Linked DNA regions of Oryctolagus cuniculus. The protein of the gene in region 2 interacts with the protein of the main gene of each other region in a pairwise test. Links are inferred from orthologs where the notes say so. Each region holds a gene or a part of one and is shown on either strand. Other genes may lie near its edges.

What was found.
Region 1: the proteins of WASL (region 2) and ARPC3 interact in binary tests that used the Homo sapiens proteins (3 or more experiments, as listed by UniProt). The two-hybrid records come from large-scale screens. The link is inferred for Oryctolagus cuniculus from reciprocal best matches to the Homo sapiens genes WASL and ARPC3.

What each region holds. Positions count from the first base shown.
Region 1 is NC_091452.1:8,116,061-8,120,143, reverse strand, and holds the start of ARPC3 (actin-related protein 2/3 complex subunit 3), read left to right. Parts: upstream 1-1,176; 5' UTR 1,177-1,386; coding exon 1,387-1,392; intron 1,393-4,082; coding exon 4,083-4,083. UniProt on the Homo sapiens protein: Component of the Arp2/3 complex, a multiprotein complex that mediates actin polymerization upon stimulation by nucleation-promoting factor (NPF).
Region 2 is NC_091434.1:159,920,295-159,923,940, reverse strand, and holds part of WASL (actin nucleation-promoting factor WASL), read left to right. Parts: intron 1-398; coding exon 399-441; intron 442-2,865; coding exon 2,866-3,019; intron 3,020-3,646. UniProt on the Homo sapiens protein: Regulates actin polymerization by stimulating the actin-nucleating activity of the Arp2/3 complex. Involved in various processes, such as mitosis and cytokinesis, via its role in the regulation of actin polymerization.

The DNA.
Region 1 (4,083 bases), on a different chromosome or scaffold from region 2:
GTTCAGTCCTGGGGTTTCACCGCCTCCCGGTGAGCCTGATGTGACTTCGCACAAACGTACAGCGGTTTGTGGGTGCCAGGCCCCGGGGGTAGAAAGAGGCGGCTCAGGGCTGATGGCCTGGTGGGTGAGACCAGGAACAATGAAACTTGTGCTGAGGGACAGGAAGAAAACCGAGTGAAATGGAGAGTGACTAAGGGGTGCTTGGCCTCTCCTCAGTGGAGAAATCACGTCGGGCCGCGGGGCAGGGTTCTTCAGTGTGGGACACTGGCAGGAGAAATGGGCTTTTCCCATGAATGGGTGAGACAAACCCGAGCTGTCCGTACGCTCCCGGCTTGTACACTCAGCGCTTTCGGCTCCTTGCATCCTCCCAGAGCTTACACGGTAAGTACTGCTGCCTCCGTTTGCAAGTGGAAATCGCACAGATCGCAGATGTTGGAAACAGGACCAAAACCCACTGTCCACTTCTTCAGCCGCTGCGCGAAGAATCGCAGTGCAGAGTGACATGCAAATCCCTTCTCTCCTGTGTCCGGGTCCCCCATTTGTAAAAGCCATGATTTTGGCCCGCGCCGCGGCTCACTAGGCTAATCCTCCACCATGCGGCACCGGCACACCGGGTTCTAGTCCCGGTCGTGGCGCCGGATTCTGTCCCGGTTGCACCTCTTCCAGGCCAGCTCTCTACTGTGGCCCGGGAGTGCAGTGGAGGATGGCCCAAGTGCTTGGGCCCTGCACCCCATGGGAGACCAGGAGAAGTACCTGGCTCCTGCCATCGGATCAGCGCGGTGCGCCGACTGTAGCAGCCATTGGAGGGTGAACCAACGGCAAAGGAAGACCTTTCTCTCTGTCTCAGTGTCCACTCTGCCTGTAAAAAAAAAAAAAAAAGCCGTGATTTGGCTTCATTCATTCGCTCGACACAGTCCTTGGAGACACAGTCCTTGGAGGCTTGCTGCATACCCTGACTGTAGGCGCAGGGGATACAGCAGTGAGCCGAGCAAAAAACCCTCCCTTTCTGTACCAAAAGTAAGGGGATCCTAAGAACTAAGGGAAAAGCGAGAGAGGCCGGGAGGTGGAGTGTGATCAGGGAATGCTCCACTGGAAAGATGAGCTTTAAGGAAAAACAAAGGATGCGACTATCAAATTCTGTTACCAAGATCCACGCATGCGCGACACGCAGATCCGCTGCCTAGTGCTCGGGCGCCCTCTAGCGCCTCTTCAGGAGCGCGCAGCCACGGCCACCTGCGGAGGGATTGGGAGGCCGGAAGTTCCTTGTTCTGCCTTTGCCCGCCCCTTCCGGCTCACTTCCGCCTACCGCGCCCTGGTTCCCACACCGGAAGCGCCGCGCTCTAACCCGGACCTGCACCTCTCGGTTGAAACCCCGGGGCTGCCAAGATGCCGGTAAGTGTGAGCCCAGAGTGTGCGGGAGACAGCGGGAAGTCGTGCGTGCGACGGGAGATGCGTGCCTGGCAGGGCAGGCCGGAAGCGGGCGGCTGGCGAAGGGAGGGGTTGGTCCCTGAGGTCTGGGGGGCCTGGGGCTGCTGTCCGCCGGGGTCGACTGCGGGGCAGGAGTGGGCCACGGCCCCGACGCGGGAGGAAGCCGCCGCGGCGCGTCCTGCCCGGTAGTCCCCGGTGGCGGCGCCCCCTCGCCCCTCCGCTCCCGGACGCGGGCAGGGTACCCAGAGGCTTTTTCGAGCCCCGAACCCAGGGCTGTGCTTTTCATGTTTCAGGGTCCAGCTTCTCCTTCGCCCCCGCACCCAGTCAAGCCCACTTCCTCCTCCGCCGCAGGGGGCGTGTCCCCGCCCGACCCCGCCTGACCCCGCTTCCTCCACTCCTCCCTGCCACCCCCGCCGGGGCCAGGGGGCCTGGGGCCCTCGGAGCCGACCCAGGGTCCGCAGCTGGTTTCCAGATGGAAGCATCAGAGTGGGGGTGGAAACAGGCCGTGCGGTTGTGTGTGGGCCCCCGGTTGCGGGGTAGGAGCACGGTGGCCCTGCGGCGCGTGGGATACCTGCAAGCTGATGGCTGTGGCAGCCGCCAAGGCCAGCACTCAGGTGCCCATGAGTGAAAGGAGTATTTTCAGGTGGTGACAAACGCCGTGAAGCAGGTGGATCGAGACCGTTGCTGCTCCAGATAACGCATACCTGTCCGGGAAAAGAACCGGCTGTTGTCATAGATAATGTTTCACGAATCGCATAGGTAGCATTGACTCCTGGGGACTGCTAGGCGGAGCCGAGCCACACGCTGTGTAGACGCTCCCGTGTGCCCCTCGTCACTGACCCTGCAAGGCAGATACCATTGTTTCTGTCACAGAGAAGTTAGCAGCTCCTGCAGGGCCCCGGCCGTGGACTCTGAAGCCCTGTGTGCAGTCCAGTTGCCCATAGAGCGCCCTGGACTTACCCTGTGATTGCTCATTTTATCTGGATCCATTAGCCTGGGAATTCTTTAATCCCAAGGACCGTGTTCTGGTGTGTTGCCATAGCACCCTGCTACATGTGCGCGTGGCTGGTGAACCAGTGAACACATGGTTGGGGCCCGTGTTGTCTTACAGAAAGCCAGCCGTCTTGTAAAAAGCAGAACCAGGAATCGGCATACAAACCGTTCTCATAAATGTGACTTTTCTCTGTCTCTTAACTCACTGACCCACAGGAGGCAGAATATGTCTCATTTTGCAAATTTGGAAACAGGCTGAGAGAAAAAAGTGGTGTCTTGGTGAAAGACATAAACCCAGGAGAGAGCAGATCTGAAAAGCTGGAGCTTGGGTTCTGGTTTAAATGCAGCTGGGGGTAGCTACCCCTGATTTAGATGGTGTTTGCTTATGTCCGTGTGGAAATACTCCCACCCACCACCCCTGTGCTGTCACTAACCATGGAACAGGAGAGATGCACAGTGTCACAGTGTTGCAGTATTTGTATTTCTACCATAAACGTAACACAGATAGAGCCTTAAGAACATAGACAGTGGTAAATGTAATTTGAAAATTAGGAGATGATGAGAACATATACCTTTGTTTTTTTAATAAATATAATTGTAAGGTTATATAATTTAAAGTTTTTATTTATTTGAAAGGAAGAGTAACGGGGGCCGGCACCGTGGCTCACTTGATTAATCTTCCACCTGTGGCGCCGGCATCCCATATGGGCGCCAGGTTCTAGTCCTGGTTGTTCCTCTTCCAGTCCAGTTTTCTGTTGTGGCCCGGGGCGGGGGGGGGCAGTGGAGGATGGACCAAGTGCTTGGGCCCCTGCACCCCATGGGAGACCAGAAGCACCTGGCTCCTGGCTTCGGATCAGCGTGGTGCCGGCCATAGTGGCCATTTGGGGAGTGAACCAACAGAAAGAAGACCTTTCTGTCTGTCTCTCTCACTGTCTATAACTCTACCTGTCAAAAAAAAAAAAAAAAAAGAAAGGGAAAGTTACAGAAAGAGAGTAAGTGACAGAGACAAACAGATCTCCATCCCCTGGTTCATGGCCGAAGCCAGGAGCTTGGAACTCCGTGAGCATCGGAGGGAGCTGCATTGGAAGTGGAGCAGCTGGGACTCAAACCGGTGCCCACGTGGGATGCCAGCACTGCAGTCAGCAGCTTAACCCACTGCACCACAAACGGGTTTAAATGTTTGGGAATGACTGTTTAATAACCAGCTTGCACCATTAAGTTGGTTTTCTTCTGTTTGAGAGATAAAGAGACACACACAGCACTCCCATCTGCCCACGATGGCCAGGGCTTTGCTGTGGCTAACGCCTGGGCACAGGAACACAGGCCTGGTCTCCCACATGGCTGGCAGCGACCCGATCACTTGAGCCATCACCACTGCCTCCCAGGGTCTGCATTGGCAAGAAAGCTGGCATCAGGGGCTGGGAGTCAAACTTGGCGTTGTGCTGTGGGCCGCGGATATCCTAACTTCCAGACTGAATGCCTGCCCCTAGTGATTGACTTGCTTGAGCCGGAAGCAGCCGGCCCCAGCACATCACTGTTGCCAGCCCTGCTTCTCCCCACCCTACCTCATCTTGGGCAGATGACTCATTTTTTGTTGTTCTGGGGGGATGTGCTTGTCAGCCCCTGTAACATTTGGCATCTTTCTGCTTCTGTATTTGCAGG
Region 2 (3,646 bases):
GCAGTAAAAGCATTTGGTATTATATGACATTTCAAAGAATTTCATATGCATTATTTTGTTAGTTCATTATAAAACTTTTGTCATCTCAGATGCATGTACATGCTTATATATACATAATTATAAAATGCATATATATGCATATATATGAAATGCTTGTATATTCTTAAGCTAACTTGGTAAATAGTTCTTGGAGAGATTGTACAAAAACGTTAAGATTGGTAGCAAGACCAGGGCTGGAATCCTGATCTTCCAATTCCTTGTATATAATTTTTCCTAGAATACCGGTATGTCTGTGAGAACTGTTCGTTCAGACCCAAAATTCCACTGGAGAATTGGATTTCCTACATATATGTTTTTATTGCCCTTCATGCATTTTATTTTTCTACTTGTTACTTTAGGCACATTGGACATGTTGGTTGGGATCCAAATACAGGCTTTGATGTGAGTGTCTTTTCAAGCTGTATACAATATTGATATAAATATGTAAGAATGTTATGACTTGCATTTAGACTTTTCAAAGGGCTTATTTCTTTATTATTATTTATGTTTGCAGCTTCTAGTGTCTATTTGGAAGAGTTGTGCTTATGTGTATATACTACTGAGATTTGGAACCATAGTACCGTCCTTTCATATTAGATCTTTAAAAACAAAGTTATTTTGTGACTTGGTTCAAAAATCATTTTCAATATTTTTGTTATAATTACCACATTAATCTCATACATATTGAGTGTCTTTTTCTGTTGAGCACTATTCAAGGGCTAAAAATTACAAAAATGTCCTTACCCTTGGATTTTCAAATTGATTTGCTGTTTTTGTCTTTCTTTGTGATTATACTTAAATCTTAACCTGGGACAAGGTGAAATAGATTCACATTGTTGATGTTTGAATCATGAATGGGTTAATAGAAATCAAGAATTCTCTTCTTCTGAAGTCAGGGAACAAAAAAGAGATGTGATAAAATGTAAGATCTATTCTTTGTTCATATTTATTCTGTTATTATTATTTAAGGTAAACAAATTCCATGTATTTCATATATACAAATTTAGGAACATAGTGACCCTTCCCATCCTACCCTCCCTCCAATAAACACTCTCACCCTTTTTCCTCTTTCCTTTCTTATTCTCTCTCCATTTTTGCAGTAATCTGTTTTCAGTTTGCTATATATTCAAAAGACTAACCATACACTAAGTAAAATGTCAACAAATAGTAAGAAGAAAAGAACACTGTTCCTCAACAGTAGAGAACAATCATGAATCTAAGAATGTCAGTTTCACTCTTACACATTACATTTTTGGTGCTCTGTTAGTTACCACAGATCAGGGAAAACATATGGTATTGGTCTTCTTGGACTGGTTTATTTCACTAAGTATAGTAATTTCCAGTTGCATCCATTTTGTTGCCAGAGACAAGATTTTTCTTTTTTACGGTTGAGTATTCCATAGTGTATGTATACCATAATTTCTTTATCTATTCATCAGTTCATGGATATCTGGGTTGATTCCATATTTGTATTCTGCAGCTGTGGGATGAAAGGTTCTGTAGATATCTGTTAGGTCCTTTTGGTCTATAATGTCATTTGGCTGTTTTTTCTGTGTTGGTTTTCTGTCTAGTTGATCTGTACATTGATGAAAATGTGCTTTTAGTCCCCCATTACTATTGTATTGGAGTATATGTCTCCTTTTAGATTTATTAACGTTTATTTTTTTTAAGATTTATTTATTTATTGGAAAGAATTACACAGAGAGAGGAGAGGCAGAGAGAGAGAAAGAGGTCTTCCATCTGATGGTTCCCTCCCCAATTGGCCGCAATGGCTGGAGCTACATCAATCCAAAGCCAGGATCCAGGAGCTGCTTCCGGGTCTCCCACGAGTGTGCAGGGGCCCAAGAACTTGAGCCATCTTCTACTGCTTTCCCAGGCCATAGCAGGGAGCTGGATCTGAAGTGGAGCAGCTGGGTCTCGAGCCGGTGCTTTAGGCCAGGGCATTAACCTACTGCACCACAGTGCTGGCTCCATTAACATTTATTTTGTTAGCATATAAATACTGTAACTGCATTAAAAGTTTATTTAACTTGTGCCTGGACTTGCGGCATAGAAGGTTAAGCCTCTGCCTGTAGTGCTAGCAACCCTATGGGCACCGGTTCAAGTCCCAGCTGTTCCACAGCCAATCTAGCTCCCTGCTAATGTGTCTGGGAAAGCAGCGGAAGATGGCCCGAGTATTTCAGCCCCTGCATCCATTTCTGAGAAACTCAGAAGTAGCTCCTGGTTCCTGCCTTCGGCCTGGCCCTGTCCCAGCGTTTTGGATAGTGAACCAGTGAATGGAAGATCTCTCTTTCTCTCTCTCTTTTTTAAAGATTTATTTATTTATTTGAAAGAGTTATACAGAGAGAGAAAGAGAGAAAGAGAGAGGTCTGGTGTACTCCCCAATTGGCTGCAACAGAGGAGCTGTGCCGATCCAGAGCCAAGAGCCTGCAGCTTCTTCCAGGTCTCCCACATGGGTGCAGGGGCCCAAGGACTTGGGCCATCTTCTACTGCTTTCCCAGCCATAGCAGAGAGCTAGATCGAAAGTGGAGCAGCCAGGACTTGAACCAGTGCCCATATGGGATGCTGGCACTGCAGGCGGCAGCTTTACCCACTATGCCACAGTACTGGCCCCGGAAGATCTCTTGATCTTTCTCCCTCTATCCCTATCTCTCCCTGACTCCTTCTCTCTGTATTTCTGCCTTTGAAATAAAGAAATATTTTTTAAAAGGAAAAAGAATTAACTTAAATATTTTCAAAAAACATATGAGAATTATACTTTGTCATACTTATTTTTAATAAACAAGGGTAGATTTTTATAGTTTGTGGTTATTTTATCTGTTGTAGTTGAATAATTTGGATCCAGAATTGAAGAATCTTTTTGATATGTGTGGAATCTCAGAGGCACAACTTAAAGACAGAGAAACATCAAAAGTTATATATGACTTTATTGAAAAAACGGGAGGTGTGGAAGCTGTTAAAAATGAACTGCGAAGGCAAGGTAACTTTTATTTCTATTTTTCTTTTTATCTTTGATGTCAGCTTCAGTTTTGAGCAAAATATTTGAATTTATTGATAGTTAATTTGGCCCATCATATTATATATTATATTATTTTGCAACTAAAAACTTGGTATGATTTTTTAAAGTTTTATATTAAATTTATGAAAATCCACACAAAATTTTCCAGTTGTCATATTTAGAAAAAAAATTATAGTTAAGTAAATAATTTACTCCATGAATCCTGCAAATCACTGTTAAGGTTGGTTGTAATTTAGTAGTTATTTAATCAATAAGGTATTTTCAGAATATAAATGTAAATCTTTTTATTAATTTTGAAATGCAGACTTTTTTCTTGTATAAAATATAAAAATTACGTTTAGTTCCTAAGAGTACAATTTGCAGTGTTTTAAGATCTGATAATTCATTTGAAGTATCTTACATTTTAGTTGTATCTTAATTATCACAGTAAAATGCAGATAAATTATGTTGTTTGTTGATAGTCATCTTTGCCACCTTGTTCATACGAGATTGCTTCTCTTCCTAGTATTTACATTCTCATTACACCATAGCAGAGCAAAAACTTCAGTTAAAAAGAATTTAGCTATCATTTTAAATTAGAAATTTGAC